Linked DNA regions of Lonchura striata. The protein of the gene in region 1 purifies or fractionates together with the protein of each later gene. This does not show direct contact. Links are inferred from orthologs where the notes say so. Each region holds a gene or a part of one and is shown in the gene's direction. Other genes may lie near its edges. The genes, in order: RPP30, RMP64, RPP25L and POP1.

Region 1 (7,884 bases):
GACCATTACCAAGTTGGAAGCATCTTCTTGTTTAGTCAAGTGTTTCCCTACACTTTGTTAGTTGCTCGACAAAAATCACGACAAAAGCAACGAAATCACAAAATAAAAATAACTGCTAACCACCCATAATGTGTTCATCAACCTTGAGCCTCAGGTGAGTTACCCCACCAGGTGATAAATGAAGTCTTTTGTCCTCAGTTAAGTAAATATTAGGAAGAAAAAGGCCTTTAGAAAAGGCAAGGACATATCTAAATTAAAACATTAAGGCAAAACTTGTAGAGAGAATGTTTCCTTATTGGTTGAACATATTTTTTCAAAAATAGCATTTGAAGAACAGCTAAGGAGTTAGGAACTTAGTAAATTTTGTTCAAAATAGATTCTTATCACAAAGGCTGATAAAATTGTACAGTTTAATACTCCTAGTAAAAGCAATTTTTCAGTTGCTTAAAATGTCACTAAGGCAGAGCAAATTATAATCTGGTGCTTCCTGCAAATGAGTTAACACAGTTCATTAAATCAGTCATTCTTCTCCACAGCTTTTCAATACCCTTCTGGGACGTGATTCTCTAAATGTTCTCAGTGGATGATACACAGGATCATTTGGTAGGGTACGGATGACTCCTACCCACTCGAACCCAAAAGTAGGACTGAATTGTATCTTTTGTTCTGTATCTTAAATTCCCTTACAGTCCATTCCAAGTTAATCACCTGATTTCTTTCCTACTCAAAGGCCATGTTACCACTCTTTGATTTGCTGTTGTAATCTTACCTTTGAAGAAACAAACCAATTTAAGTCAATTTATGTATCATTATAGAAAGGGATTTATGTACTACTGCAGAGAAGATGTGAAAAACCCTGCCAAGACAAAGCAGCTGACACCTTACTAAAATATGTTCCTTGAAAGCTTTTTACTAGGACACACCTAAAATAACTTCCAGTTTCCCAGGCTGGGCTGAATCCAGTGAGGTGCTTTCCGTGAGGGTTTAGAGGGTTTCACATGGCCAAGTGTCCAGAAAGGCAAAGAGAATCCATCATTCCATGAGATGACATCCAGTCTAGGCACTTAAAATAACAACACATGAAAGTGGGACTTCGTCTTTCCAAGGGTACATCCCACTTTTGTTTTCAGTGATCATATTTAAAAATTCTAATAATGTTGTTTCAGATAGAATACAGAAGTGAAACAAATGTCCAATTAGGTGTCAAGAATAACAAGCTGACATTTGTTCTCTACCCAAGAAATTGCTTTTTAACCTTCCATTAGGCTTCAAAAAATACAATCAAATCATTTTTCTGGTTGAGCTTAGTAGAATCCTGTCTTATGAGTAATTTAGGCTCTCTATGCATAAAAGCCTCTTAATATTTCCATATACCTCCAATTCTGTGCCAAGTTTTTTTTCTGCACTTAGTAAAGTTAAACTATTTTGTTAATATTTGATAGTGTACTTTATTTGCAAATCTCACCTTTGGTATTTTATTATTGCTATGTAGAAAATATTCAGATTATAAAAAGAAAAAAATGCAAGAGAACCTTTTATTTTCATTTTTCCCTCTCCCAAAGTAGTTAATTCCTCTGTTTAATTTTTCCCCTCCTCCAGAAACAGTGCTAATCACATAACATCTTCAGCATTTGTTATTGATACTAAGTGTATACTATTGCAGTGGGTATTGCTATCAATTCTTTGCTGCCATGTTAGTGAGATAAGGTAAGACAGGTCATTAGGGCTAGGCAAGGAAATACAGTTTCCCAAACACATTTTGATTTAGTGGGGCCAGACTGTATCTGTCAAAGTGTTTATGTTGAAAAATCTTGCATTAAATCCTGGATCCTTCATCCCTCCCTGGAGGATCTGATGCTAGCACAGACAGCAGGTCTGTGCTAACGTGGAGGATCCTGACTGAAATGGGTCAAGGAATGCAGTACAAGAGCTTCAGCACCAGAGGAGAAAACGCTGACAGCCCAGCATGGTAACACCTTCCTTCACGCAGCTGCCTCTAGAAAACAATAGCTCTGCTCATCTTAGCTGGAAAAGCTGAGGTACTGCTATGTTCCCCTTCTTAAACCATCCAGTATTGTACATATGGCAGGAAGGTAACATGAGTATGCAATGCAATAAATAAACAGATCAGAATTTTTTTTTGTTCTTTTTTATCATCCCCTCTTTTGTCCTTCCTTGCCTGAGAGAGCTTATCTCCTCAAGCTGTTGTTTTAATTTGTCTGTCATATCTTTTCTTTTCTTTTCTTTTCTTTTCTTTTCTTTTCTTTTCTTTTCTTTTCTTTTCTTTTCTTTTCTTTTCTTTTCTTTTCTTTTCTTTTCTTTTCTTTTCTTTTCTTTTCTTTTCTTTTCCTTTTCTTTGCTTTCTAGAGGTATTACTGAAACCTTGATTTTTATTCCCAGCATGTACTGTTTAGCAAATAACACTTGTCTAATTTCTAGAAAATAGTTGCAGCTGCACTTTTCTGCCTTTTCTTGTCTTTGTGAAGATAAATCATCATCACTCTGTGGCAGTAAAACAGAGAGGTAACTATTCCCGTATTTGGCCATTTCTTACCATTGTCAAAATAAATACTTTCATCTGTGCAACTTAAATATGAAATTATGTCTGTCCTTTTCTGGAACCAGCAAATCCTAACAATGACAAACTGGCATCTGAAAAGAAAATGAACAATTAAGATGACATTTATGCTTAAAATTCTGTATCACTCAAAATGAGAGCTCCCAACTCTGAAAACTCCATCTTATCTTTACAGTGGAGATTATGAGGTTATGATGAAAGTGGCTGTGACACTCATGCTACTGAGGTAGATAGTAATAAATAAAATCTTATAGTTGCTGAGGTAGGTAGTAATAAATAAAATCTTAGCACCCAAAAAGTGCCAAATGCAGAACTAAAGCAAAAACACCCTAACAGTTGCTACCAGGGGCTGCCCATGGAAAACCTATTAGAAGAATTGTGATGGTCTCTGCATTAAAATTTACTGAAAGGACAGTCTTGAGGTCTAAGTGTATTGAGAAAGAAACACTTGGAATGAGGAGATAAGTTTTCACCAAGGAGAACTTAATGACAACAATGAAACAAAGCATGTTAGAAGCTTGCAGCTTAACAGTGAGTACCATAAGGAAATTCTCCCCAAATCACTGGGTCTGACGTATGTAAAAGCAGTAATAGCTAAATAATAACATGGAAAATAAGACTGTGCACTGTTCTAAGTACAATTTGTGATACCTGGTGCTAAAAGTTCTTCGTACTTGGATTCTTACACCATTACAGAAAATAGGGTTCTGTAGATCTTCTGCATGAAGATCTGTTTAAATGTCCTCCATTTTAAGAACCTCAAAGAAGGGTTTCTTTTGCTTGTATACTGCCAAACACAAAGGCTGCTTAATCTTTGGTATTTCTGAACACTGTTGCAGTAGGGCCATTCAGAAATAACTGAATGGATTCTGGATTGCTTTTTACATTCATTAAGACAAATCAACTCAAATCAAACACTGAAAACCTAGAATAATATCTTGAGCTGTTCTGTTTTCACACACATTGAAGAAAGACCTTGGCAATACCATTCAGGCTGTGCTGCTTGTTCAGTTGGCTGGCAGAGGAGCAGTATTGGCTGATGTGGTGTCACAGGCAAACACCTTACAGATGTAGATGGACTAAAACAGAGCTTCTTTACTGAAATATCTTGATCTAATATGGTCAAGAAAACAATGTTGCCATAGATGTGGTATGAACAATGACAGCTTACCAGCTGGGGGTTTTTACCCCTTTCAGAGTGATGTGGATTTTTCCTGCCATACAGATGTGGGAGCTGCTTTCTGCTGACCCTCAAAGCTGCTTCAACTCCTAGTCCAGTGTCTGCAGCCACAAGTAGCTTCTCTGCTACCATCATCCCAGGTATTTGCAACTCATCACACAGGAAGTCCAGAAACACGCCGAGAAAGCACTGTTGTTTCTCAGCCATACTTTGTTAACCATGATGTCTTTGGTAGAAATGAATCCCAGGTCCCCACAATTCCCATGGACACAGCTTGCACAAGCTGCATCAAGGTCAGACCCTATAAGGAGGGATGTTCACGCTTTGGCAGCAGCCTTGGCCTTGGTTAGAAGCATTTTTACCTTATTAAGAATTCAGGGCTCCAGATACTCCACAGACGTCCCCTGGTGAGCATTTAGCTCAACTTGAGGACAGAAAAAGGGAAAGACCCCCTGGTCTGGCCACCTGAACTTGGACAGGAATTGCAAACCTGCTATCTTTAGCGGCTGCTCTAAGTCACCAAAAACCGCCTACTGAGAATTTCTATTTGTATTTTACATATTCTGTGCCATTTGCCAGCATTAGAACAATATTAGTACTTTTTGTGGCAGTGCTACACAGTGAACTTTTATCTGATTCATCGGTCTGTGAGAATTCATCTGTCCTCTTCGGCGTCAGGGGTATTTTGACATGGCAGCTCGGGGCTTTGTAGGAAAGAGAATAGCTATGAAACTATACATAGAAAAGATTGGCTATGATTTTTATTGGCAACGCTCAGACAGAGCTGAAGCAGTTTCACAGGGGATAAACCCGGCACTGGAGCAGGGTTACCGCTCCACCTGGCGGGCACCCGGCGCCTCAGGGGCGCCGGGCCTCGGCCGGCGGCGGAGAGCGGCGGGCCCGGGGGATGCAGAGCCGTGATGTCTCTCACAGCCCGGCTGCGCTGCTGGGAACGAACCACGGGAGATCTCCAGGGCCTAAGGCACCACCCCACAGCCTTTCCCACCCACCGCAGTCCCGTGGCGAGGCAGCAGGGCTGTGTGGGGCGCGGCACAGCGGGACTACAGGGCCCAGGCTGCCGCGGGCGGGCGGCAGGGGCGGGGCCGCCGTGCGCCGCTCCGCGCCGGGCTGGGCCCGCCCGCCGCCCGCCAGCATGGCCGGCTTCGCCGACCTGAACCTGCCGCAGGGAGCGGACAAGAAGTGCCTGCAGAGCCTGCTGGAGGCCGCGGCGCACCGTGAGTCCCGGTGGGGCTGGGCTGGGAGCGCGGGCCGGCCCCGGCCAGAGGCGGCGGGACGCGAGCGGCGGCGGCTTCCCCGGCTCGGCAGGCGCAGCCGGAGCCTGCGGGCTGGGTGGGCACAGATCCCCGGGATGAGCCTTCCCTTCCCTCCGGGCAGGCCGGCATCGCCACCCGCCCCGGCGCCGCTGCGCTCCGTGCGCTCCGCCCGCGGCTCTGCCAGCGCAGTGCCCGGGCCGGGTCTGCCCGGGTCGGGTCTGCCCGGGCCGGGTCTGCCCGGGGCCGGGTCTGCCCGGGGCCGGGGTCTGCCCGGGGCCGGGTCTGCCCGGGTCGGGGTCTGCCCGGGGATCTGGTCTGCCCGGGTCGGGGTCTGCCCGAGACAGGGTCTGCCCGGGTCGGGGTCTGCCCGGGTCGGGGTCTGCCCGGGGATCTGGTCTGCCCGGGTCGGGGTCTGCCCGGGTCGGGGTCTGCCCGGGGCCGGGTCTGCCCGGGTCGGGGTCTGCCCGGGGCCGGGTCTGCCCGGGGCCGGGTCTGCCCGGGGCCGGGTCTGCCCGGGGATCTGGTCTGCCCGGGGATCTGGTCTGCCCGGGGATCTGGTCTGCCCGGGGCCGGGTCTGCCCGGGGATCTGGTCTGCCCGGGGATCTGGTCTGCCCGGGGATCTGGTCTGCCCGGGGTCGGGTCTGCCCGGGGATCTGGTCTGCCCGGGCCGGGTCTGCCCGGGCCGGGTCTGCCCGGGGCCGGGTCTGCCCGGGCCGGGTCTGCCCGGGGATCTGGTCTGCCCGGGGCTGGGACTGCCCGGGGCTGGGTCTGCCCGGGTCGGGGTTTGCCTGGGCCGGGGTCGCTGGGGAAGCTCCTGATGCGCCTTGCAGCTCTGCCTCTCCCTGTGTATCCCAGCGTAACAGCTGTTTTTTCCCCAACGTGGACCAGTGTTTCCGCCTGCAGTTTCTAGGGCTCGGCTCTTTCCCTGCAGAGCTGTTGTCAGCCACGTGCTGCCTGTGCGGGGTTTGGGCGGCTGGTTTAAACGCCCCTGGCGTCTCTTCCTCAGAGCCCTTTGAGCGGTACCTTCTCCTCCGTGTAGTCGGCATCGTTTTGAATTGCTCGCTTTGCCTTCTCCGACAGCTGTATCTCTGCCGGCTCTGCGTTGTCTGCAGTTTTAACAGCTGTGCTGAGTATACTTAGCAGTTTTCCATAGAGAAAGTCATAAACAGGGCCAAACTAAGCTAGACCTTTGGGGACACCAAGCCCATGTATTTGTGTTCATAAAGCTCTGCGATTGAGTAAGAGTAGAAAGGCCTGGACTAGGCTAAAAACCAAATAGATTTTTTTTTTCTGTTTTAAAGTATTTTTTTGGGTGAACCAGTCTTTTTAAAAAATACTGTGAAATCTAAACATGCACATGGTTATTAACCTTAAGACATTTAAGTAATGACTATTTTACGGTTTTCTCATTGGATTTATTGTCTTTTTGTTTACTTGACAAAATATTCTTACTATGTGTTTTTCAGTGGGGTATTCTGCAGTTGCACTTAATCATGTCATCGACTTTAAAGAAAAGAAACAGGTAATTTTTCTTGGGGTTATTTGGTCTTACTGTCTTTTCCTTAGTAAACCTGCTTCGTTACTGCATGTTTCCAGATAGCTTTAGCTACAGAATGCACATCTAGACACAAGTACAAATCTCTGTATTTGTAACAAAACTCCCATTTTATATTGCAGTAAAACTGCCTTTGGATTAATTTTTAATCTGCTTCATGTACTGTCCCACAAAAATAGTTTTCTTAGTGTGGTGAATTTCTTAAGATTGGAACACAGTTTTTGTTTACATGTAAACCTAACCCATAACAGTTTTAATAACTTTATTTTCTTCTCTTTCAAGGAAATCATCAAGCCAGTATCCCCTTCAGAGTTGTTTCCATCTTTACCTATTGTACAAGTATGTCTAGTTGCATTCTCTATATATACTGTTATTCTGAATTACCCTTTTTTACCTTTGTGTGTTTGTATATGTGATTTTGCGTATGAGGTGTTAATCAAAAAAGAAAAATTTGTCCATTGTTTCATGGTTAAACCTCCAAGCATAGGAAGAATAGTTAGCTCACATCAGGGTAAGCTCTATTCATTATTTTAGAAATTATTAAAGAAATTTCTTTGTGTGAATTTTGAATCTGCTAGTAATTGAATAATTACAGTACAGTTCTTGAAATTTAAGTTTTGGAAATAACTTTGTGGTTTCAATGGAGCAAAATTTGGATATAAAAAAGTACAATAATATGTTTTGAATCACTGACATTCATTAATTCAGGAACTGCTTTTACTTGCTGTTGTGGCCTGCCTGAGGAATCACAACAGTAGTAAAACATACTCAATTTTTCTGCATAGTTGTTTGTCTTTTTTCTTTCCTTTTCTATTTATCCTTCTCCAGAGAAACACAGTAAGTCATTCTTTGTAAGGACAGGTATAATATCAAAGAGATATATCAAGACACCATTTTCTTTTTATAGCAGACTGGTGGAAATTACCACAAATTTTTGCTTTGGATTATTAATTTTTTTTTATATTATCCTTTTTTTCTGTAGGGAACATCTAAAAGAATTAAAGTCTTGACCCGCTTAACACTTGTTGTTTCTGATCCTTCCCACTGTAATCTCTTGGTAAGTATACTCAGCAGTCAATTTTGCAACTTCTATTTCTTTATGAATGAATGAAACTTTGGAAATTCTATGGGGATAACATCCTGGAATTTATAGGGCACTCAGCAGTGATTTCTGAGATTGCATCTTTAACAAATAATGTGATCATGAGGAGATGCAGGCTTACAAGACTGTATATGGCTTCTGTTGATCATTTTCAGTATGGAACAACAGTTCTGTTCCTTGGTTTCCGGACTTCT
Region 2 (7,210 bases), on another chromosome or scaffold:
TAAGTCTGCTCTTGGGGAAAGAGGTTTATTGGGGGTGCAGGAAGGTCCTGCCTCGTGCTCCCAGACGCAGCACGTGGCTGGGCCTGAGGGGGGGGGAGGGGAGAGACAAAAGGAGGGGTTAGGAGAGGGGAAGCCCCAGGAGGGGAGGAGGTTCCAAGAGGGGAGGAAGTTCCAAGAGCCCACATGGTCCCTCAAAGCCTCCTTATAAAGGGGCTTCAAGGTGGGTTGGAATAAGGCATGGCCAACGGGGTTACAGACACTTGATGTTTTAGAAGAGGGATAGAGGTGCGGGGTGAACTATACATGTTTTGGGGGGTGGGATGGAACAGTCCATTTCACCCCAGGACCCATCCAAAGGCAGGGGTGTCATCCGGCTAGCTGGGAGAACTGTTCTCATCCTAGCTGTATTATTTATGAACAATCATATTTATCTATCATCCACAACAACATACCTCTTTGGAGGTCTGGATGAAGGTCACAAGCTCCTGTAGTTCCATATATTCAATAAACAGATTCCTACAAGTCATTTCATAATGGCTGGTAGCCTCAGAAGGCTTGGACAAGTGCTCCTCACAGGCCTGAAAGAAGTGAAGCTATTTAAAAAAGATCTTGAAATTTAAAAAAAACCCAACATGGTAGGATGGAATAAAGATTCTGTTTCCTCAATCCATGGTTAAAAATCATCTTCTTCACTTACATTGTTTTTCTATTGCAGATACAAAAGAACAAAGAAGGAAGATATCCAATCTTTTACGTACAATAATGGATGTAGGTGTGTAATTTGTTTATCTTGTTTTCCATAAAGTGTGCTTTTAAACAAGCACTCGAAAGGGGAAGCTTCCAGTTCAAAGAACAACAACCCACAGCAGATGGAGTCACTTGCCCTGTTCTTTTTCCCTGCCCTGATCAGACAGAGGGATGGGAATTTTCTCATACCTTTAAATTATGGCTGAGAGGAAAATATCTGTTTGATTTGAGACATTCAAATCCCAACCTTTACAAAAGCCAAATACTATAGAAAGGGAGGTTTTTTAATATCCACAGTGTTCTAGGTAATGAATTTGGAAACTGTGTACAGAAGGACTTTGTATACACAATTGTGGGAGAGCCATACTCAGTCTTCCTTCTTAATTATTTTCCATGGGCACTTACAAACATCTTAAATAGTTTTGCTTTTTCCCTCTGATGGAAAAGCCAATGTTCCCTCTCTGTCCTCCAAACAGGCCACCCAGCTTTCTCTCAGAAATGGTCTTGCCTCTTGGTCAACAGCGCTATTCCATCAACTCCTCTAAAGCTGCTATATTTACTAAGAGGGAACAAGGAAACCTTGATAACATCCTGCAGGGCGACTGGTGGTTTTGTTGCCTTGTCATCCAGCTTCAACATGAGCCACAGCAGTTTCTCCAAAGGATCACTCAGCTCTCGCTCCATTTGGCTGTTGATTCCCCAGTCCAGGGCTTCATAGATCACCCTTCCCAGGTACTCCAACAGCTACAGACAGAGACCAAGGAAGCAATACAGCACAAAGTGTTGTGGAGAACATCACAGCTCTTACTTTCCAGCCATGTGTGCATAGTCCTCTGCTCCTGAGGACTGAGAACATCTCTCACGATGAGAAATACCCGCCCCTGCTCCCACTTAAGCTGGTTTAAAGCTTTTAAATGGCCTTAACTGGTACCTCTAAGATATCTGTCATTAGGACAACAAGAGTGTGGCCTATGCCACAGTAGACAGCATCTGTGCACACTGTTTCCCAGTCCCATTGTCTTACTTGAGTTCAGTCCAAGCACTTTGTTTCCTGTTCCAGATTGCAGAGGAGTCACTCTCACAGTAAATTCAAGCACCTTGATACTTTCACAAGACATCTGCATCTCCTGAGCAGGCTTTCTACTACAACAGGATTGTACCTGCACACACAATGAAGGTAGAGACACAGGCTTACCTTGTCCTCTGACTGCTGAATGCTGCCAACATCTGAAAGAGAAAAATGAGGATAAGGGGAGAAAGACAGCTGTACAGGCATTGGCAGCCAGCTTTTAGAACCCTTTTCAAGAGAGGGAAAGAGTAAACATTGTTTTTATTAAGGTAACTAACTCCTCTGACTAAAGTCAGTCCTACCTGGGGAAAGTAGGCCTGTATTTGGGGAGTCCTGGAAAACACTATAGGAGACTCATGCTATTGTGAGCATTAGCCAAAGTAACAGCTACTGCATTTTGTTGTTTGCTAATTGATATCCAACCTCCAGGGGAGACACAGGATTTTTGTCTTCTTTACTACCCACTCTAGTCCATGAAGAGTTAGCCTAGCACTGACCTCTGCTGCAGCCCAGCCCAGCCCTACATAACACAGTTATTACCACTTGCTGGGTTACACATAGTGACCAAAAAAGGGAAAGTACCAATCAAGAGTTATCATAACAAAAGAACCATACACTGGAAGATGAATAGAGCAGTACATATAACAAAGCCTCAGACTATTTATTTCAAATAACATTAAGTAGTAGAAGGCTTTCATCACACCTATTCCCTAGAACCAAATGATTCAACAGAGCACTATTAGAGAATTTAGTAGGTCATACATCTGTATTATCACTCATCTACAGTCCTCTGAAATGAAGTACAGGCAGGAGAATAGCTTCATGACAACATACCCAGAAGAGAGGGGGAAAGAAAACCAAAAAAGGCAGAGGAAATGAAATTTCCTCTACTTTGTCCTCACATTTCAGAACCCTTGGCATCTGCGGGTACCTATGCTCTTACCAGACTTGTGGTAGACCTTGAAGGAAGCAGTACCATCAGCATGGATAAAGATGCTCTCAGAACCCTTTATGAACACAGAACAGAGAGGTGGGCTGTGGGCCAGCTGCTCTATTTTCCTGCAACACTGGAAGCAGATAGCCCAGGCTTGCTCCTCACTTAAAGCACGTTCAAAACACCTCAGAAGCTCAGCTACAGAGACCTTTGTGATCCTCTGCTCACAGCCTGGAGGCTCCATTTTTCCTTTCACCTCTAACCTCCACTTTTAGCCTAGGGAGCTTAAAACTTCCTTTTCCAGACTGGGCAAGTTTTCACAGCAGCTTTTTATCAGTACTAGCTCTTGATTTGCTCTTATCTCTCTTACCTACAGGTGCAACCAATTATGCCAATTTTTGCTCTTTTTAAAGGCACATGACTTGATTTGTATTTGTAAGAGATTTCTTAAAAGAACAGAGTAAGTATACAACAAAATGGAATCCAAAGAAGGTAAGCGTGTACAAAAATTGTGCTCCATTTAACTAGTTCCTAAAAATTATATTAATTATACCAATATTTTCAAGTAGAAAAAGAGTACATTCAACTTCAGGCAGGGGAGGAAAGAGGCAGGAAGTGTCTTGTAGTTGAGGGAGGAGAACTCAGAACACCACAAAAATTATTTTGATAGGAAACTATTCCAATAGCACTAATAAATTACAGCAATCAACTCCTTGGGGCATCTGCAGTGGGCCCCAAGGAGCAAGTGGGCCCCTCGCACAGCAAATTCCAACAGCAGGGGCTGTGCGCGTGGAGCGATTGGGATGGCCAGGAGGGTACCCGGGGCACGGGCAGCAAGGCCCTTCCTTGCCCAAGAATGCCGATATCCCAGAATCACAGGATCAGCTGGGTGGGAAAAGATCTCTGAGATTACTGAGTCCAACCTGTGACAAACACCAGTGTCAGCTACACCCTGGCACTGAGCGCCATGTCCACTCTTTCCTTAAACACCCCCGAGGACAGTGACCCCGTCACCTCCCTGGGCAGTCCATTCAGTGTCTGATCCCCCTTTCTGTGAATACACTCTTCATTGTGTCCAACCTGAACCCTCCCCGGTGCATCTTCAGACTCTTATCGTCTGGTCTGGATGTGAATGGCTCCAGGTGTGAAGCCGATCCCGCGGCTTTTTCAGCGCTTTGAGGGCTGTGTGTGACATGGAGGGCACAGCTGAGGGCTGGGGACTGGAGTCATCCCCAGAACACCCCTGCACCATCCACTGCTGCTGCTGCGCTGGCTCACCACGGCCACAGCTCCCGAGGCGCACAGTGGAGAACTGCGAGGCTCGAAGTGTAAATAACACTCATTATTTATAGTTATTTCCCTTCTCGCTTACGGCATTTGGGGCTGCAACGCGTCAGCGCCAGGCCCCGGGCCATGGCGCACCCCCGCGGGGTGACTTGGTCCGGCCCGCGACTCTCCCCGCCGGCCCACCCGGATGGTGCTGGCCACGCTGGGGCTCGCCGCGCGCAGCGGGAAGATGGCGGCGCCCAGGGCGGCGTGGGACGGGCGGGACGTGCCCTGGAACCGGCTGGACGTGCCCTGGCCCGCCAACAGCGCCACGGTGCCGCTGGCGGCCCAGCACCCCACAGGTCCCGGCGCGGTGCCGAGGGGTTGGGGGGTGTTTGAAGCCGTTCCCGAGTGTTTACGGTGGGTGGTCGGTCGGTGGGAGCCGGAGGAGTGGCCGGAGCGGCGGCGGGCGCCGAGGCGGCGCTCGGTGCCGGTGCCCGGCGCTGAGGGGGTGCCCGGGTCTCGCCCGCAGTGAGGTTGCTGTCGACGCTGCGGCGGCGGTGCGGCATCGCCGGGAAGCGGCTGTCGGGGCCGGGCCCGGCCGCCGAGGGCCGCGTGCTGCGCGCCGTGCTCTACGTGTACCACAGCAGGCTGCTCCGGCACCGGCCCTACCTGGCCCTGCGGCAGGTGAGCACCAGCCCCGCCTGGGCGGCAGGGACCCGGCAGCTGGGTACTCCCGGCCCCCAGAAAAATCCTGTGGAGTAGCACTTTGTGCTCAGAGCATCGTGCCAAAAAAAAGTTTGGGAGCGGGTGCATTTTTGTTCTCTCACGGTTGAGCCCAGTGGGTTTCTTGGCCCTGTGCAGCAAGTGCAACTTCAGTTTTCCAGCCCTGGTCTCCGATACTCACGTTGAGACCCAAAATAGGTACAATTCTATACCTTTGTGTACATGAACAATACAGGGATATAATTCTCATATAATTATAATAATGGGAGGGAGGAATAATAATCCTGTCCTACTTATTAGATACTTTCTGTTTTAAGATGAAAAATGAAGACCTTGTCAGTTTTCCAGGAAAGGGGTTATCAGCATCTTCAAAGAACTGTTTTGAATTGGAGCAGGAATGGTGCTTACCTTCTTGATTTGCTTATGTGTTTTTTTTCTTGACATCCAGTAGTATAGGCCCTTGTATACAGCAGGGAAATCATACAGCACCAATTAAACATGGCCTACTCCAGTCCTTCACTTAATTCTATATTTACAGTAGAGCAATGAAGGAATGTTTTTCATCGTAGTGCAGATACAGAAAGGTCCCAGAACATGCCATTACACAAACCTGCAGTGTAGGCTGTTTAACTGATAAGGAGAAGGTGTCATTTAATATAGTGACAGTTCTTAGACCAGGGCACTCAGTCTCTCAAAATACCAGTCAAAGGAATTTGCTTTTCTCCTAGGTAGAGCAATGTTTGAAGCGCCTATGGAAAATGAATCTGGTGGGCTGCCTGGAAACTCTGGTAAAACTGATTCCCAAGTAAGTGTCATGATCCCATATCTTGTACTATCCATTAACTCAAATCTGCAGAACTAAAGGAAGAGGATACTAGATCATAACCAACTCTTCATCCTTGTCTCAACACAGGAAAAATGCATCCAAAGCCCACACAGAGTGCTTAGTTCCCAGCCAGCCTATGCTGGAAACTGTGGCTCTGAAGGTATTGGGAGGCTGCAAGCTCATACTACGTCTGCTGGATTGTTGCTGTAAAGCTTTTCTGTATCCTTTCTTCACCACAAAAACATGATCTTAGAGTTCACCAGTAGCACCTCATATAGGCCCTGTATTGCTGATGGACTCAACTGTGCAATTCATATGTGGAACTTTAAGTTCCTTTGACAGCCAAAGACCTTCTTTTCAAATTATTATGTAGGGACCTCAAGCTGTTTGGCTAGCAGCTATTCTGACCTTCAGCAATCCAAAATTTGGATACTCATCTCCCAGATTATTCCTTGTGAGTTACCTCTCGTTGGTGTGTTCAGCAAGTCTCATTACATGCTGTTTATTTTTTTCACCTTAACTGCTGTGATCTTCAGCTTGTCCATTAAACATCTCTGCTCGAGGGAATTCATACTCCTGAATACTGTGGCTTTGGGGCTCCTGAGCCGGCTCTGGTTTGTGTGTTCAAAAGTCTGTCTTAATTGTGTCTGTTTGATGTGCCTGTCAGGGAGAAGGGCTTGTAATTAGGCCTGGCTGCTAAGGGAGTTTTATTCAGTTGGGAGTAGGAGAAGAGAGGTCACTCCATTCCTCTGGACTCGATTTTAGCACCTGCAAAGCTGTACAGGTGGAGAGAGACTTCTTACATGCTGTTATGGATGGCTTTGTTCTTAGATCTTAGCAAACTGTATGTAGCTTTAATGAAATCACAGTGTTAGTGTCAACCTGCCACAAACACCAGGTACTCTGTGCAGTAAGGAGTAAGTCCTGCCTCATGGGGAAATGGAAAGGCTGGGTTAAACATGTTCTATTATACCACTGAGTTTTCTAGGGAAATTGATGTTTTGGTCTCTCTCCATCTGGGAGAATAACTGCTGTCTGTAGCTGAAGGAGTAACAACATTGTTAGAACAACTTGCAACTTTCTGTGGCACAAGAAATCTTCTAACTCCAGGAAACAAAGAGCAGACAGTTGTATGGTGTCAGGGCTGCGTTGGTGCTGGGTGTGAAGACCTCATGGCACCTTGGATGTGACCCAAGAACCTGATGGGTCCCAAGTGTGACACTCAGCAAAACTCTACAGAAACGGAGGGGCTTCTTGATCAGGAATTTACAAGTCACTCCTGTATTCTGGTGTGGAACAGTTCCTTGAAGTTCAGACTTAAGGAAAGCAGGGTGATGGAGTGTAAAAAGGTAAATTTGTACTGAGTGGAAACAGGGAAAACAACAGTTGAGTTGAAGGTAGTTGTTCAGTGAGCATCATGTTTTGCTGGAGGAGACTCCATTCCTTTTTGTCCTCTGTCTACAGGATTCAGTACAGGTGTGTATTGCAGACCCTCGTGTCCCTGTACAGTGCCTTGTCAACAATGCTTCATCTGGTATCTGAGACCCAACAGACCCCTTATATCAAGGGGTTTACCTTCCCTTCTGATATCAGTGACTTCCTTGGGGTTAACATATCTTCTGAGGCAAAGAAGCAAAAGGCT
Region 3 (7,561 bases), on another chromosome or scaffold:
TTTGTTTGGCACAGAAATAAATAACTGGGAGAGGTTTATGTGCTTGCAATCTCCAGCTCAGCAGGCAGAGTGGGAAATGGGCGGCTGGAGCCTGTTATTTGCTCAATTTCCATCTGCCCATGTCAGGATCTGCTCTCCATGAAATGCTGCTCTTATGAATGCCATAACATCTCCCTACTTTTCGTCTCCAAACCTATTTATCCCTCCAGTTGAAGATATAATAAAATACCTTGACCCCCAGTACATTGACAGGATGGCTGTTCCAGACACTATGAAGCTGCAGTTCATCTTGGCAGGTATGAGATGAGGGGAAAGAGGAGGCTTTTGTAGCACTGCAAATAAAGCATCCTTTCTCTAAGATGGGTCAGGATGAATTTATTTTCTTCAGTGGTAAAATGTGGCACGGCAGGCCCTGTGGAGGTATCAGAGAGATGGTTTGCACAAGGGTGTCTGTCACCCTCAGTGCTCCCTTGTGCACAGCCACACTGCAGTTTTGTCAGCTCTGATCTCTTCTGTATTGATCATTCAATTTAGCCCCAAATTCATCAAAGGCTGGTAAGAAAAGCGGGAGCTAGGATGATTTCCTTACCCCACTTCAGTATTCTCCAGGCTGGGACAATTGGGTGTGTTTTGACATCCCCTAGCCTTGTCCTCTCTTGACCCAAGGAGTTTGATCAACCCGTGACCAGTATAATCTGTCAGTGGAATTCCACTGAATCACGGAATGTTAAGGGGGTGGAAGGGAACTTAAGGACCATCCAGTCCCAATCCACCTTCCCCAGCTTTCCCAGGTTGCTCAGACTCCATCCAACCTGGCATTGAACACTGCCAGGGATGGAGCATCCACATCCTCCTGGGCACCTTCACAGTAAAGAATCTTCTCCTAATATCCAGCCTAAATTTCCCCTCTTTCCATTTGTACACTCCTTGTCCTATCATTAGAACGTGGTGGAGATTCTCCTGCCTGAAATTGGTGTCAGTCAAGACCCAGGGATGAGCAGCACAAAAGTGATGAAAAATCATGAATCCTTTCTGTAAAGACAGATCAGCTGGGAAAATTACCACTAGTGAAAAGCCAGAGCAGTGTTTTGTGTTTACTGATGTTGCTTCTTGTCCCCACACAACCAGAGGAACAGGCTATTCCTGCCCGTGCAGCCCTTCTGGAGCAAGTGAAGAACCTCCAGCCTATCTTGGACAGCACCAGTATCCAAGGTATGCATGTTCTGCAAGCTGGAGCTGCAAATGCCACCTGCTAAGCTGTGGCCTGTCCTGCTTGCTTTCTTTTCTCTTGAGTCTGAGACTAGAGAAGAAGACAGCTTAGTGGTGTGAAAGTAAACTGAGTACAAAGTTAGTCTGCTCCTGCCACATGCTGCCCTAGTCTCCCTTGCAAAGTCATGGAGGTGATAGAGTAGCTTGTGAAGCAGGCTAAAGAGAGCACTGTGGCAGAGGGGGTGGAGCCTGGCAGGTCATTCCTTCCTGTGAGCTGTTTTACATCCAGAATATCTGTTCTGGCCAGTGGTTTAGTCCCGTGTGTTTCGTGAGTAGCCCTCGCTGTGGGCATCCCTGAGCTTGTGCCATGTGCAGGATAGTTATGTAATTTTTTTTATCCTCTGTGAGTTTTATCTATAGTGTGGGACACTTGCACTCAGCAAGTGGAGTTCTGCCATGCTGTGCTCATGGAGGAAGACTGGGGTTTACGTTGGGAGCTAATCCCATGTGCTGTAAAACAGCCCAAACTGATTTCTCTTTTGTGCTTCCAGCGGTTCCTGACCATGCAGCCAAACTGCAGAGGCTCTCACAGATCCACATACAGCAGCAGGTACCGTGAACATTCCTATAAGTATTGAGTAGAAGGGCCTAGAAACCTTTTACAAGTGGCTGTACTGACACCCAGTATTTGTAATTGCTTGAATTGCTCATTTATGGCAGTTCTTTGCAATCTGAATTTTCATACTACAGTCTTAAAGAAGTTTTAAGTACTCCTAGGGGAAAAAGGAGCCAGGATTTCTGTGAATTTGGTCCAAGTTGGAAATTTGCCCACCATAACCCTGCTCAAAACAGCTTTCAGTGACACATAGTAAGGGACATTTGGTTTAACCATCTTGAATTCCCCCTTTTACTGAGACTCTGAGGTGAAGCATTGCTCTCCTCCAGTGTCCTACTCTCTGGAACGTTGTTGACACTGTCAGCCTGTCCCTTCACCCTTTCCCTCCCTGTATGAGCACTCTTGGAGCTGGCAGTGAGCAGCCTGGGCAGTTCCTAATGGTCTCTTTCAGCATTTTGTTCTGAGTTTCTGTTCCGGGGCAAGCAAAGCCTGGATACTGAGGAAAGGCAAGCAGCAGTGCAAGCCTGGGGGGTTTGCTGCTTCATGGGACCAGTGTTTGTCAGTTTTCTCTTAATTGTGAAAACCTGTCCAGCTGCAGTGGGCACCACAGCCAGGGCCTGAGCACTGATCTCAGTGCTGGCCTTGGATGAGTTTCCTGCCATGCTGTCGTGGACTGGGAAGGGAGGTATGTTGTTCACCTTATTTATTGATCATGCACTGCGGCTCCCCTCTTCACAGGAGAAGCGTCACGATCTCACTGACAGTGTCAAGACACTCCTTGAGGATTACAACAAAATGGTATCCTTTAAAATGCCTGGAACTCCTGAACTGACTCCTTCCCCTGGCTGATCCCATTGCATCTCCAGCCTGGGGTTTAACAGCCTTTCTGATGGGGTGACACCTATGTCACTGTCCTGGCTGCGAAGGATCCCAATGCTGAGGCACATCCCAAAGCCAGAGTGGGTAGGGAAGCTGTGGAAAGCCCTTGCATGGCGGTGGTGTGTGGAGTTCACAAAGTACCTCCTGGACTCCCATGGGTGTATGGTGCTGTGCAGTGGCTCAGCCACTGGGTGGAGTGAATCCATGAAGTGCCTTGGTGCCCTGGGCCTCTCCTAAGGAATCAAAATTGTAATGGTGCTGTCAGGATGCTCTGACCTAGGTTTCTTCCTCACAGTTTCCACATAACTTTCCTTAAGTGTTGTGTCCAGACTTTGCTTCTCTCCAAGCAGTTTGTGCAGTGGAATGAAATCCTGACACGCCTGGAAGTGGCCAAACAAGCAAAACCTGTGGCAGAGTGATGGCAGAGCTGGGAGAGTGGCATGTCCAGAGCCCCTGTGGCACAGCTTGCATCCTGCTGGTCTCAGCTCCTTCCTGCTTGGTGCGAGCATGCTGAAGTGACGCAGCAGGATCCTGGAGCACCCAGCTCTGTGCAGAACTGTGCCAGCCGCCAGTCAAAGCCACACTGCTCCTTAATCTGCCACTGTTTGCAAATCTTTTATTTCTCTGAAATGCATCTCAGTTTTAATGTATTTCAAAACCCCATTTCTGTGCTTACTGTGGGCCATAGTAAAGTCCTGGAATGCTAACTGGGTTGTCTGTCTCTCCCTCAGTGTGAGGACTGCTCCTGGCACAGACTGGGGATATTTCCCCAGGCAGTGATCTCTTTGCAGCCTCCAGGAAACGGCTAGTGGTTCCTTTCAGCCTTGGGCCAAGGGCAGGGAAACCATTTCCACACTCTTCCTGTTTGTGTGAGTTGTCTGCCCAGGAGAATCTGGTCTTAGGGATCTTTTCTGCCTTGCTGTTCTCCTATCTGTGTGCTGAGAGAAGGTAGCAGCTTTTGCCTTTATCCTGCCTCTGCTTTCCTGAGGCTGCTGCAGTCTAAGGCCCGTTCTGGCTCTTTGCCTTTCTAGAGGGAGGCATAGGCCATGCCTTGCCTGGTCTGGCTGTAGCATGGAGTTTCCAAGGCCATACTTTTGCAAGGGTCTCAAACCCTTCAGGTCGGTGAAACACTGCCCAGCTGAGTGTGACCCTGGGAGTCCTGCAGGAACGGGCAGAATGCCCACAGGAATTCCAGAAGAGCTCGCCGGTCCCAGAGCTGTTTCTGATCAGCAGCCTCGCTGGCTGTCAAACCACGGTGGGGCTGCAGGCCTGCGGAAAAGCCCCGCTCCCTGCAGCTGCCCGAGGAGCTGAGGTGAGGGTCAGGGTTAGGGTCGGGGTTAGGGTCGGGGTTGGGGTTAGGTTGAGGGTTAGGGTCAGGGTTAGGGTTGAGGTTTAGGGTCAGGGTGAGGGTTAGGGTCGGGGTTAGGGTTGAGGTTAGGGTGAGGGTTAGGGTCAGGGTTAGGGTGAGGTTTAGGGTCAGGGCTAGGGTCAGGGTGAGGGTTAGGGTCAGGGTTAGGATCGGGGTGAGGGTGAGGGTTAGGGTCAAGGTTAGGGTGAGGTTTAGGGCCAGGGCTAAGGTCAGGGTTTAGGGTCAGGGTCAGCGTTAGGGTTGGGGTGAGGGTTAGGGTTAGGGTTGAGGTTAGGGTGAGGTTGAGGTTTAGGGTGAGGGTTAGGGTTAGGGTGAGGTTTAGGGTCAGGGTTAGGTTCAGGGTCAGAGTTAGGGTTAGGGTTGAGGTTAGGGTGAGCTTGAGGTTTAGGGTCAGGGTTAGGGTGAGGTTTAGGGTCAGGGTCAGAGTTAGGGTTGGGGTTAGGGTTGGGGTGAGGGTTAGGGTCAGGGTTGGGGTTAGGGTTAGGGTCAGGGTTAGGGTGAGGTTTAGGGTCAGGGTCAGGGTTATGGAGAGGTTTAGGGTCAGGGTTTAGGGTTAGGTTTGGGGACGCCGTGCCGCGCGGGGCCCGCAGCTCGCCCCGCCCCCGCTGTCACCGCCGTGCGATTGGCGCGCGCCTCCTTCGGGCCCCGCCCGCCTCGCGCGTGCGCGCGCCCGGCGCCGGCCGCCATCTTGTGTCGAGGCGCGCGCTGCGGCGGCCGCAGGTGAGCGCGGGCTCCGCGCGCCCGTCCGGGACCTCCCTGGCTCCCACCGGCATTCCCGCATCCCGCCGCGCTCTCCGGCTCCCCCCGGCGCCCCCCGGCGCTCTCCGGCTCCCCCCGGCGCCCCGGGCTCCGATGGCGGCGGCGGCCGCGTGAGGGCCCGGGCCTCGTGTGCTCCCAGGGTTCGGAGCGTGTGCCGAGGAGGACGCGGTGCGGGGTGCAGGGTCTGGGCGCAGCGGGACTCAGGAGCCTGCGGGTAACAAAGTACTGCGACCTTCAGCCCCTTGAGCTGTGCGGTGGGGACGTGGGCTGCCCTGCACAGGGTCAAGCAGACCTAGGACAGGATGGCACCTGCCTTGGCACAGACGGCAGCTGCGAGGCCTGGCCTTTCTGTCCTTCCCTCGAGGAAATGTTTTTTTATTCCTGCAACCCCTGGCTTGCCATCTCCCTTGTGACATGCAGTGTTTTAGCCTCAGCTAGGCTGGTCAGGTCTCCATGAGCCTGTATTTGTACACGACTTGCTGCATGTAAATTGTGCTTGAATTTGTCCTGTGCATGTTCTGGTGTGGCAAGCATCCCCGAGTTCTGTTCTCAGTCACCCCAGCTCACTTTTTGTTCTGTCTTCTCTTGAGATACAGCAGTGTTTTCATGTCACCATGGTTAAGCCCACAACACTAACACTTGCTTTTTTCACAGCCTGCTTGCCAAAACTCAGGCTGCCCTGTGGTATCATTCATATTGTAAGTATGTCCTTAAGAGGACTGGGCTAATATTTTGGTTGTCCCTTTCCAGGATTTCCCAACCCTGATAGTTCAGAGTGCCCTTCAGAGAAAAGCTTGTGGCTAAATGTGGTGAGAGTTTCTTTGGGCAGCAATTAGAGTGGGCAGTGTGTTCATGGGTCTGTTTTCCTTTTCAGCATTGCAGAATGGAGAACTATAAGAAGACCAAAATTGTGGAGAAACCTTGTCCTCCTCCTTTCACTGACCTGCCTGCTGATATTATTGAAATGAAGGTGAAGGACGGGAGCAAAATTAGGAATCTGATGGGCTATGCCATGAGCAAGATGGAGCAGGACTCAGTGAGGCAGATTCTTTTCACTGGCTCAGGCAAGGCTGTTAGCAAGACCATTACCTGTGTGGAAATCATGAAACGAAGGCTCAAGGAGCTGCACCAGATCACCAAAGTGCTCTTCAAACAGATTGAAGAAATCTGGGAACCCATTGTGCCTGAGGCAGGCCTCGATGCCTTGACAGTGAAGAGAAACATTCCTGCCATATGTGTCCTGCTGAGCAAAGATGCCCTGGATCCTCAGGAGTCAGGATACCAGGCCCCAGGATCTTTTGATGCCTTCTGGACTGAGACACTGAAAGCAGAATCACAGGGCCAGATGAAGAGGAAGCAGGGTGGAGGCCGGGGAGCTGCCAGCACAGGGAAGCACCCTCGCTCCACCAGGGGAATGCCGTGGGGGCCCTGAGGCGGCAGATCCGCACGTGGTTCAGGGGAGCTGCAGAAACCAGCCCGGGGCTGTGGCTGCACGGCTGCTGCTGAACACAGGGGTTCACAGAGGTGTGAGGGGAGGGCAGGAGGAGCAGACTGTTAAACTGGGTGTGATGATAGCTGTCTGAAAATGTGTTTTGACAAGTTCCCTTGCCAGGGGCTGCCAGGCTGTACTCCTTAGGGGATCGTGGAAGATGGGAATTGCCTCTTCTTGAGCAAGAACAGTTGGTGTGCTGTCAGTGAGCCCCAGAGAAGCACTGCTAACCCAGTGGGGTTTCAGGTGCTTGGGTGTGCAGCAGCCCAGGCAGCGGGACAGACACCTGTCTGTGTGCCAGGTGCAGGTTGCTCTGACCAGTACAGAGGGGAGACAGGACCTGATCTGGAATCCTCAGGCAGCTGCCTGCATCACCTGGGCTCATGAAGTGTACAGACAGCAGGGCACAGGGCTGGGCCAGCCATTTCTGTGCCTGAAGAATCCTTCTGCTGAGCCTGTTGAGGGGGTTGAATGTAGGAGTGCCAGGATACAGCTCTGGCATCATGTGCATGTAGCTCCTTGGCTCAGCAGAGCTGGCGGTCCTGGTTCTCTCCAAACAGGCAGCAGTCAACTCACGCTGTAGCCAGCCTGAAATCTTGTGGCTCTGCAGCTGTCCTGGGGTGGTGGTAATAGGAAGCTCCAAAGGATCCTGTTCTTTCCCCTTTCTGCTCCTTGAAAATGCGCAAAGATGGCTTTAAAATAAAGATGTAACTTCATGTAACTTGGAAATTTGTCATGTCTTACTGATCCCACTGGAGGTCACCCTGTAAGCATTGGTGGTGGAGTTGTGGCTGCTGGCTGAAGCTCTACTCTTCCAGCCTTCCTGCTGCTCTGTGTTTGTTCCTCTCATGACTGTATATGGACCCTGATCCAAGGGGAGGTTAATAACCTCCTTTCACATCCAAAATAGATCAAGGTTCTGGTGTTTTCCTCTGAAGTTTTTTGCTAATTGTTTTTCTCTGCTTTAAAATGGCTGGAACTGCAGCCTCAAAAAGACTCGTCCGGAACTCTGCTGAGTGATGCAAAGGATGTATCGTCTTTTCTTGTGCACTAGTTTCCCTTCTGGAACAGGTCTGGTGAGTGATTCTGGGCCAGAGAGAAAGGCTATTCCTGTGACGGGCTGAGCTCCTGCCTCAAGAGAGCTCACTCCTGTCCTGAGCACTCCCTGTCCTTCCCGTGTGCTTGTGCAGGGAGCTCCAGCTGGACCCACGCTCTGTGCTGTCAGTTAAATAGTAGCAAT
Region 4 (7,338 bases), on another chromosome or scaffold:
AGCTGCCCAGTGGAAGGTTCCAGCCCTATCTGCCCTGCAATATACATTGTCCGGTCCACCAGCACGGCTTGGCTGAAAACACAAGTGGCATTTTAGGTCTAATGTTTCCCCACAAAAACACTTCAAATCCAAAAGCACATTTCAAATTTTCTACAGTACTTTATCATGTGTCAGACTGAGTTTTGCACATGCAAGCCTGTACATGCAGTCATACACCAATTTGCTTAAACTTTTGAAGAGCTGGGATTATATCACCTATGGGAGTGCATAGCTCTTCCCTTGAGGAGATAAACCCTGTTTTTTGCAAAGGCACAAGGTGTGAATGCAGCAACACAACACTAAACTGAGCTACAGGTTCCATACAGATATACAGCTTCTGTACAGATAGCACAGAGGGAAGGCAGAGTAAATAAAAACATTTTTTGCACCTGCCCAGATAAATATTCCATCCTAGTTTGAGAAGCAAACAATACCTTTCAACCAAAATTCAGCTGCAGATCAATGGAGGGAAAAAAAAAACCAAAAGAAAATAAAAAAGAGATTTAACATATTTCTTGTTAAACAGGCACTATGAAAATGAGTTACAGCTGTGAGGTGATACCTGCACCCTGGTTCTCTGGCAGTATTCCTCCGGAGTAATGAATTTGGCCAGTCAGCAAAACACCTTGACCACTCCATCCCCAGAACACTCATTCTCCTCTCACCAAATAACCTGAGTGACTTCTTTGCTGGGTTAATTCAGAAGAATGCAAACTTCAAGTTATTTGCAAAACATTTATATAAAAATGTCAAATGTGCTTTTGCTGAAGCTGAGTTGGCAAGTATTAGTGTCTCTACTACAAAGAGTTTAAAAGTTGAAAACAAAGATTTAAACTATCTAGCAAACATTATACAAGAGACACAATTTAATTCTCTTCAACCAGTAATTAAAAATATTTTGCAAAGAAATTATAGAAAGATTATTTTGGAACTGTTTTTCTTATCTCTTCTCATTCCACAAGGAAACGCATTGTTTTCAACATTCAACAATTCTCTCAAGCTACACAAACTAGAATTACCTCCCTGAGGTATCTGAAATAGGAGGTTTTCTTCCCTTTAATGTTGATGGAAATAGAGGGGCACATTCAGAGAATATTTTTAGTACATCTCTCAACTGAGATTCGCTCAGTTGGACTCACAGGGGACAAACCTAATCTAGGGACTCAGTCAAATAATCAGGGTTAGGCAGCTTGAACAATACCATCATTCCCATCTTTCCTTTTACACCTGTCCTACATTCTCCTGTAATTTTATATGGGGAAAAAATAGCCAGCAACTTCTCAGATATAGTAAACTATCTTACATGGGGATTATTTTTTCTGTCATCAACTAACAAAACTGGAGAAAATCACAAAACTACACCATACAAAGAGAAACCACTGAATAGTTTTCTAGCTGACACAGTCTTGTTGATAGAAATGTGTGCATGTACACACTTTAGTTTTCTTTCCTACCACTCCTGCTGTGGAGGGGGCCCCTCAGAGCACAAACTTCTGTTTCTGTTTGAAGCACAGAGAGCTGTACAACAAGAAGGTACGGGTTCTCCACTAAAAGAGATTTGGTTTGTGATAAGCAGTACAACACAATGACAGTGAAATGTTTATCTCAGAGGTCATCTGAGAGTCCTAAATCATTATTAACTTGGGAAAGAACGGGCTGAAGCCTTCTGATACCACTGCCAGATCAACATCTGCAGCAGCCTTATTGGGTCTGATCAGCTTCCTGCTCTTGGTGTGCTCACCAGTGGAATCCTCCATTCACTGAGACTAGGAACAATTTACCAGCCAAGGAACAGACTTGCATTGCACTCAAATGCATGAGTGCAGCTAAGGGAAACTTCAACTCCACAAACCCCAATCATTCTTCAACTGTAGATGCACCTCATAACTAGGGCCAACGGTAGCTACTCATTAATCAGCAGGGATGTGAATGTGTGTTAAAGTAATTCAGGCTTCAGTGTACCTAAACGCATAACTGGGCTGACACTGTGACCTTAGAACAACATTGTCAGAGAGATGGTGTTAGGAACCATGCTCTTTTTTAATCAGATCTTCTTTACATAAATTATTGTGGATTAATACAAGAACAGTATCCTGTTAATAATGTTAATGAGATATATAGACCCACACATAGATATGTTTCTTTTTATATATCTACCTACCTCAAGGTATTGGCAAATGGATGGAGTAAAGGAAATAGAAAAATACAGTAAAAATAGGTCACCAAAAAGCATACTGAAGGGCTGCAGCAGAACCAGGAATGCAGCTCATTCATCCCAATTCTTCATTCCACATTAAGCCCTCATCCCTGCATAACCAAGCTCAGACCTCACAGCAGAGATGTGGCAGTTATTTCTTGTGCAACTTCTGCCCTCTGGACTTTGTCAAGTTTACTAAAATCTGATAAAATAAGTTACTGATAAACTTACTGATGTTAGACTTGTCACACATTTAACAAGCTACACAATAAGCAGCATTTCATCAAAAACTGCCAATAAGCACAACATTTCAGAGTGGAAAGCTATGTTGAGGGCTGGGACACTGGTGTGTGTGTGCAAAGAATTGTTGCCTTCCCCTGTCTTAGATGTTCTCCTGATGCCAAGCAACGTCAGGCCCCTGGCTGCAATCCACAAACAGGTTATTGTTTACAGAAGTTAACCTTCATGCCATGTCTCTCTGCTTCTACACTTGTATTTTTCCATCTTTATAAAGCCTGTAAGAAACACACAGTTTGAAGCTTAGAAAGCTTAGGACACAGTGTAATGGAGACAAAAATGCACCTGGAAGGCACGAAGATGCTATTGTGAACATAAAGCCTGAATACAGAATTAAAAATTTTTAGAAAACGTCCTGGTAATAACCCTTTAGTACTTTAGCTATGAGAATCTACTATACTGACTGAACATCTTTTCACATCCAAATTTCAGAGAAGTCTTTATCTAATTAAAACTGGTATTTTTCTTTATTTTAATTCTATATACAACTGCTACAACAACATATTTGTGAAAATGTTGAACATCTTACATATTTTTACAGCAGTTAGTTTTTTAGACTGAAAAACATAACTATTTAAAATAAGAAAGGATTTTTAATTCCCAGGCATTGAATTATACATCTAACCAAGCTTGTCCTGGACTGGGCTCAGCCTTCACTCTGTATCACCTGTGCAGTCAGCATTTCCAGCTTCCCTACACAACACACTCGTCTCTAGCCAAGCACCTTTTTCTGGAGAACAATCATTCTTCTTCCTCTTTTTCCCCCATTCACTCCTTACCACTAATTCCAGAATTATTTTCCCTAAACTAACTTTTTGAACTATACCCCCTCCCCTAATTGGCCTGCAGTTTGCCATGGCAGCACAGCCCCACTCGTGCTTTGGGACTCCAGGTTCCCTGGGGGCTACTGGGGGAGGGAGTGCCAGGACTGGCCCCCACTCAGGGGTCCTGCTCTCACCTCAGCCCCAGGCCTGCCTGCCTGACCTGCAGAGACCTGCCAAAACCCTGCCAGCAAAACCTGCTCCCAAAATCACAGAATTGTTAGGGTTGGAAGGGTCCTCTGGAGATCATTCAGTCCAAGCCCCCCGCCAAGGCAGGCAGGTTACAAAGGAATGCATCCAGCTGGGTTTGGAACGTCTCCAGAGAGGGACACTCTGCAGCCTCCCTGGGCAGCCTGTTCCAATCTCTGCCACTCTCAATAAAGAAACTCTTCCTCATGTGGGGCTGAAACTTCTTGTGTTCTAGTTTATGGCCACTGCTCCTTATCCCGTCACTGGATACCTCTGAAAAGAGTCTGGCACCATCTTCTCGGCACCTTGCCTTTGAGGTATTTATGAGTGTTGATAAGATCCTCTCTCAGTCTTCTTTTCTCCAGACTAAACAGGCCCGGCTCCCCCAGTCTCCTCAGATGCTCCAGACCCCTCATCATCTCTGTGCCCCTCCGCTGACCCTCTCCAGTAGCTCCTTGTCTTTCTTGTACTGAGGAGTCCAGAACTGGGCACAGCTCTCCAGACGTGGCTTCACTAGGGCCGAGCAGAGGGGCAGGATCACCTCCCTCGACCTGCTGGCCACACTTTTCCTGATGCACCCCAGGAAAGCATTGGCTGCAAGGGCGCTGCCGGCTCATGGTCTACTTGTTATCCACCAAGACTCTCACATCTTTCTTAGCTAAGGCATTACCTGTAGGGACCCAGTGCAGGGGCCTTGGTAGTGCTGATTATTTTCTTCACGAGCGAGGCCATGGCTGGAGCCGGCGCTGAAGCTGCACTAAGTGCTGGGGCCGCCCCCCTGCGCTCCCTCCCCTTGGCGCCAGCCGGGGCACGGCCCGCCCACCACCGCCCGCGGGGGCCTCTGGGAAATGTAGTCCTTCAGGGCTGTGCTGTAGGAGTGCGCATGCGCAGTGCCGGGGCGTGGGTGTCCACGTGTGTCGGTGGAGGCCGCGCCGCGAGTGAGCGCCGCGTCGGGGCTGGTGCCGAGCTCCGCGGCTGCACCGCCCGCCGACCGCTGCCCGCCTCTTCCCGCTACAGAGGCTCCGCAACCCCGCCGGAGATGTCTGGGGCGCGGGAGAAGAAGCGAGCCAAGAAGATGAGGAACCAACCGGCCAGCGTCACGCTGCCCGCGGAGCCGGGGCCCTTCGCCGGCGGCGGGAGCAGAGCCTGCCCGACCCCAGGTACGGCTGTGGGAGCCTGTCTGAAGCCGTTCCAAACCCTCCCGGACGCGTTCCTGTGTAACCTGCTCTATGTGACCCTGCCTTGGCGGGGGGGCTGGGCTGGATGGTCTCCAGAGGCTCTTTCCAACCCAAACTATTCTGTACCCTGTGAATAGGCCCTTCTCTCTATCATCCCTTCGATTACATGACGAATCCCTACGGTTCTTAGTCTAAAATGAATTTGGATGCTACAGCCCATCCGGTGTCTCCCCTGCTTTTCCGCGGGGCCGGGGAGCTGCGGGAGGGCCGTGTATCGCTGGTGCTGCGATGCTTGCGCTGCTGTTCCTCACATCTGCACGCCCGCCCCTTTGCCTCCTGCGCCTTGTGGCTCCTCTGTCTGTGAAGGTATTGGCAGGAGGCAGCGGGACGTGTCCCATAATAGCAGTGTCCTGTCCAGGTAACCTTTGCAGCAAGAGACTGAAAGAGCCTGTCAGCTTGTATGCTAGATGCTCTTTTTGTCCTTGTGGTTTGACCTGCAATCCTCTATGCTTCTATCGGACCTCAGTTTCCACCACCATCTACATATTTAGATATTTTGTTACCTGCATTATTTCTGGGAAAAGCCCCACACATAAAAGGACTTGTTACTGTGAGGCCTTCAGAAGCTGACAAATTGCATCTTTGTCATTGAATGAAAAAAAAACCCTGAAGTATCACTGTGTATTTAGGTGACCGAAGAGTTCCTATGCAGACAGAATGACATAGCAAATTATGCTTAGCTATGTCTGAAGATTTTGGAATGTCATTGCAGGAGTACTGCCAGATCAATACGTCTTTCTAACTGTATTTGTAGCAGGGAACTTCCAAGATTACATGGTTATGTTTTTTTGTTATGTTATAAGGTGTGGATTTTCATCCATGTAGCGTTCTTCTGTAGTGTCAGTATCACAGTTTTACAAAGCTGTTTTGTAGAAATAGGAGAGAAAATTGGAGGTCCAAAATGTAAATTGGAGTTACAAAACTGTGGATCTATACAGTAGCTAAGATAATATAAGGGTTTTTTAGTTATTAAGTCAGTGACTGTTTTGCCAAACAGTCTTTGGTCTTCTGATTACAATTTTTACTTCCTCCGTTAAGAGGGTGTGTTTGTGATATGAGTTAATTTTAGGCTGTAGCCCTACACAGATTTGCTGAGACAGCTTCCATGCCTCTTTCCCAGCTATTTCCTTCTCACCTTCACCTCAGTGTCTGGATGATGCTGCTCTCAAGTATGTGGAAAACCAGGTCAGGGAATTGTTCCACATAAAAGCTAATTTCTGTTTCTACACCAAATTATTTTTTCTGCAGTTTTACTGCAGTTCTGCATGATGTGTGGTTGCAGCAGGCTACAACACTACTGCTGCTGAACATGAAACTTCAGTTTCTTGCTTCTTTGAAATGGAAAAAGGGGATTCTTTGTCTTTTTAAGTTCTCATAAATTGAGATGCTGCTGGATGTGAGTCTGCTCCTGGCTGGTCTTCATGCCAATGGTAGCATTTTTGGGATAGGCTTGGTTAAGAAGCTGATCAACTTGAAAACCGGATTTTTTAATCTCTCTTTCCATGTCTGTGGACACACAGGTTGATTTTCACTAGGGAAGATCCCTGAATGCTGTAGCCCCTTGTTCTCTCAAGCACTTGTCTTGATGTAGTGGATGGGGTCATAGGAGTGGCTGTCTGCAGCTTTTTTAGTTGGAATGTCCAGCATGAACTGCCTGAGAACCATATCTCAAGGGCTTAACTGAACATAAAGTAATCTAAACTAATATATAATATTTGTTAGGCTGAATATACAGTGGTCTTTGAATAAGGACTTCAAGGCTCTCTGAAACTTTAGGTACTTGCTAGGTGCTTAGCACTCCTGAAAGGTATGTCTGTACCTTAGAAAGCTTTACTGCAGGCTTTAGTTATTTAATTTCAGTATGGGTTTGCTTGTACCAGACAAGCAACTTACTGCACCAACATACACGTGTCATATTTACCTTAATTATTGCTGTGAAAGAAATATATGTCGGGCAAGAATACATTTGCTTATAGAAAAAAAAAAAGTGGAAAAAATAACTTTGCTGGTTTGTTACTAAAGCTCTGACAAGACAATATTAAAAGTCACTATGATGTTGCATGGACTGATTTCGATTTGACTCTTGGAGGCAAAGTCTGGATTGCTTGCCATTTTCAGAGCATGTAAAAGTTACTTAATCTATCACAAGTTTGCTTGAGGGCAGCATAAAATTCTTATTTATTCCTGTAAGAAAGAATGTAATTCTTCTGATTTTTGGTGGCTTTTTCAGTTACATGTATTAAATGTAATAGGAGTCTGCAGTGCAGTTTTATGAGGAAAGACTGATAAGAGTTATCAGTTACTCAGACTAATTTGTGTTTCTCTAACCTCTTTTAATCTCTAAACCTTCCAGGAGATGTTCGTTCTGAGCAGCAGCAGCAGAAATTTTCAAATCAGTCATCTGGGCCTTCTTACAGGAAAGACCAAAATTTTTCAAAGGGGCAAAATAGAGGAGAGAGAGGCAGAGGAAGAGGAGGATGGCAAGGAGGACACCCAAGTGTTTCTGAGGAAATGCCAAAATACATAACAGGTTTGTTTATGTGAAAAGATCATAATT

Evidence for each region.
Region 2: the proteins of RPP30 (region 1) and RMP64 purify together in Homo sapiens (affinity purification with mass spectrometry; 3 studies listed by BioGRID and IntAct, counting the BioPlex papers as one, with this or other methods). This does not show direct contact. The link is inferred for Lonchura striata from reciprocal best matches to the Homo sapiens genes RPP30 and RMP64.
Region 3: the proteins of RPP30 (region 1) and RPP25L purify together in Homo sapiens (co-immunoprecipitation; 3 studies listed by BioGRID and IntAct, counting the BioPlex papers as one, with this or other methods). This does not show direct contact. The link is inferred for Lonchura striata from reciprocal best matches to the Homo sapiens genes RPP30 and RPP25L.
Region 4: the proteins of RPP30 (region 1) and POP1 purify together in Homo sapiens (affinity purification with mass spectrometry; 5 studies listed by BioGRID and IntAct, counting the BioPlex papers as one, with this or other methods). This does not show direct contact. The link is inferred for Lonchura striata from reciprocal best matches to the Homo sapiens genes RPP30 and POP1.

What each region holds. Positions count from the first base shown.
Region 1 is NC_134609.1:16,214,447-16,222,330, forward strand, and holds the start of RPP30 (ribonuclease P protein subunit p30), read left to right. Parts: upstream 1-4,870; 5' UTR 4,871-4,911; coding exon 4,912-4,993; intron 4,994-6,499; coding exon 6,500-6,555; intron 6,556-6,870; coding exon 6,871-6,927; intron 6,928-7,570; coding exon 7,571-7,645; intron 7,646-7,884. UniProt on the Homo sapiens protein: Component of ribonuclease P, a ribonucleoprotein complex that generates mature tRNA molecules by cleaving their 5'-ends. Also a component of the MRP ribonuclease complex, which cleaves pre-rRNA sequences.
Region 2 is NC_134604.1:23,965,669-23,972,878, reverse strand, and holds the start of RMP64 (nucleolus and neural progenitor protein), read left to right. Parts: upstream 1-4,209; 5' UTR 4,210-4,224; coding exon 4,225-4,378; intron 4,379-4,548; coding exon 4,549-4,703; intron 4,704-5,470; coding exon 5,471-5,547; intron 5,548-5,655; coding exon 5,656-5,787; intron 5,788-6,104; coding exon 6,105-6,182; intron 6,183-7,032; coding exon 7,033-7,210. Other genes in the region: protein spire homolog 1-like, read right to left, coding at 453-578, 1,327-1,491, 1,943-1,974, 2,760-2,994. UniProt on the Homo sapiens protein: May play a role in cortex development as part of the Notch signaling pathway. Downstream of Notch may repress the expression of proneural genes and inhibit neuronal differentiation thereby maintaining neural progenitors.
Region 3 is NC_134642.1:40,931,604-40,939,164, forward strand, and holds RPP25L (ribonuclease P protein subunit p25-like protein), read left to right. Parts: upstream 1-4,734; 5' UTR 4,735-4,793; intron 4,794-4,958; exon of another isoform or gene 4,959-5,046; intron 5,047-5,255; exon of another isoform or gene 5,256-5,534; intron 5,535-5,706; 5' UTR 5,707-5,715; coding exon 5,716-6,264; 3' UTR 6,265-7,050; downstream 7,051-7,561. Other genes in the region: DCTN3 (dynactin subunit 3), read left to right, coding at 210-296, 1,129-1,212, 1,761-1,819, 2,564-2,623, 3,034-3,123. UniProt on the Homo sapiens protein: May be a component of ribonuclease P or MRP.
Region 4 is NC_134603.1:22,720,009-22,727,346, reverse strand, and holds the start of POP1 (ribonucleases P/MRP protein subunit POP1), read left to right. Parts: upstream 1-4,322; 5' UTR 4,323-4,426; coding exon 4,427-4,703; intron 4,704-7,134; coding exon 7,135-7,311; intron 7,312-7,338. Other genes in the region: RIDA (2-iminobutanoate/2-iminopropanoate deaminase), read right to left, coding at 1-72, 4,214-4,275. UniProt on the Homo sapiens protein: Component of ribonuclease P, a ribonucleoprotein complex that generates mature tRNA molecules by cleaving their 5'-ends. Also a component of the MRP ribonuclease complex, which cleaves pre-rRNA sequences.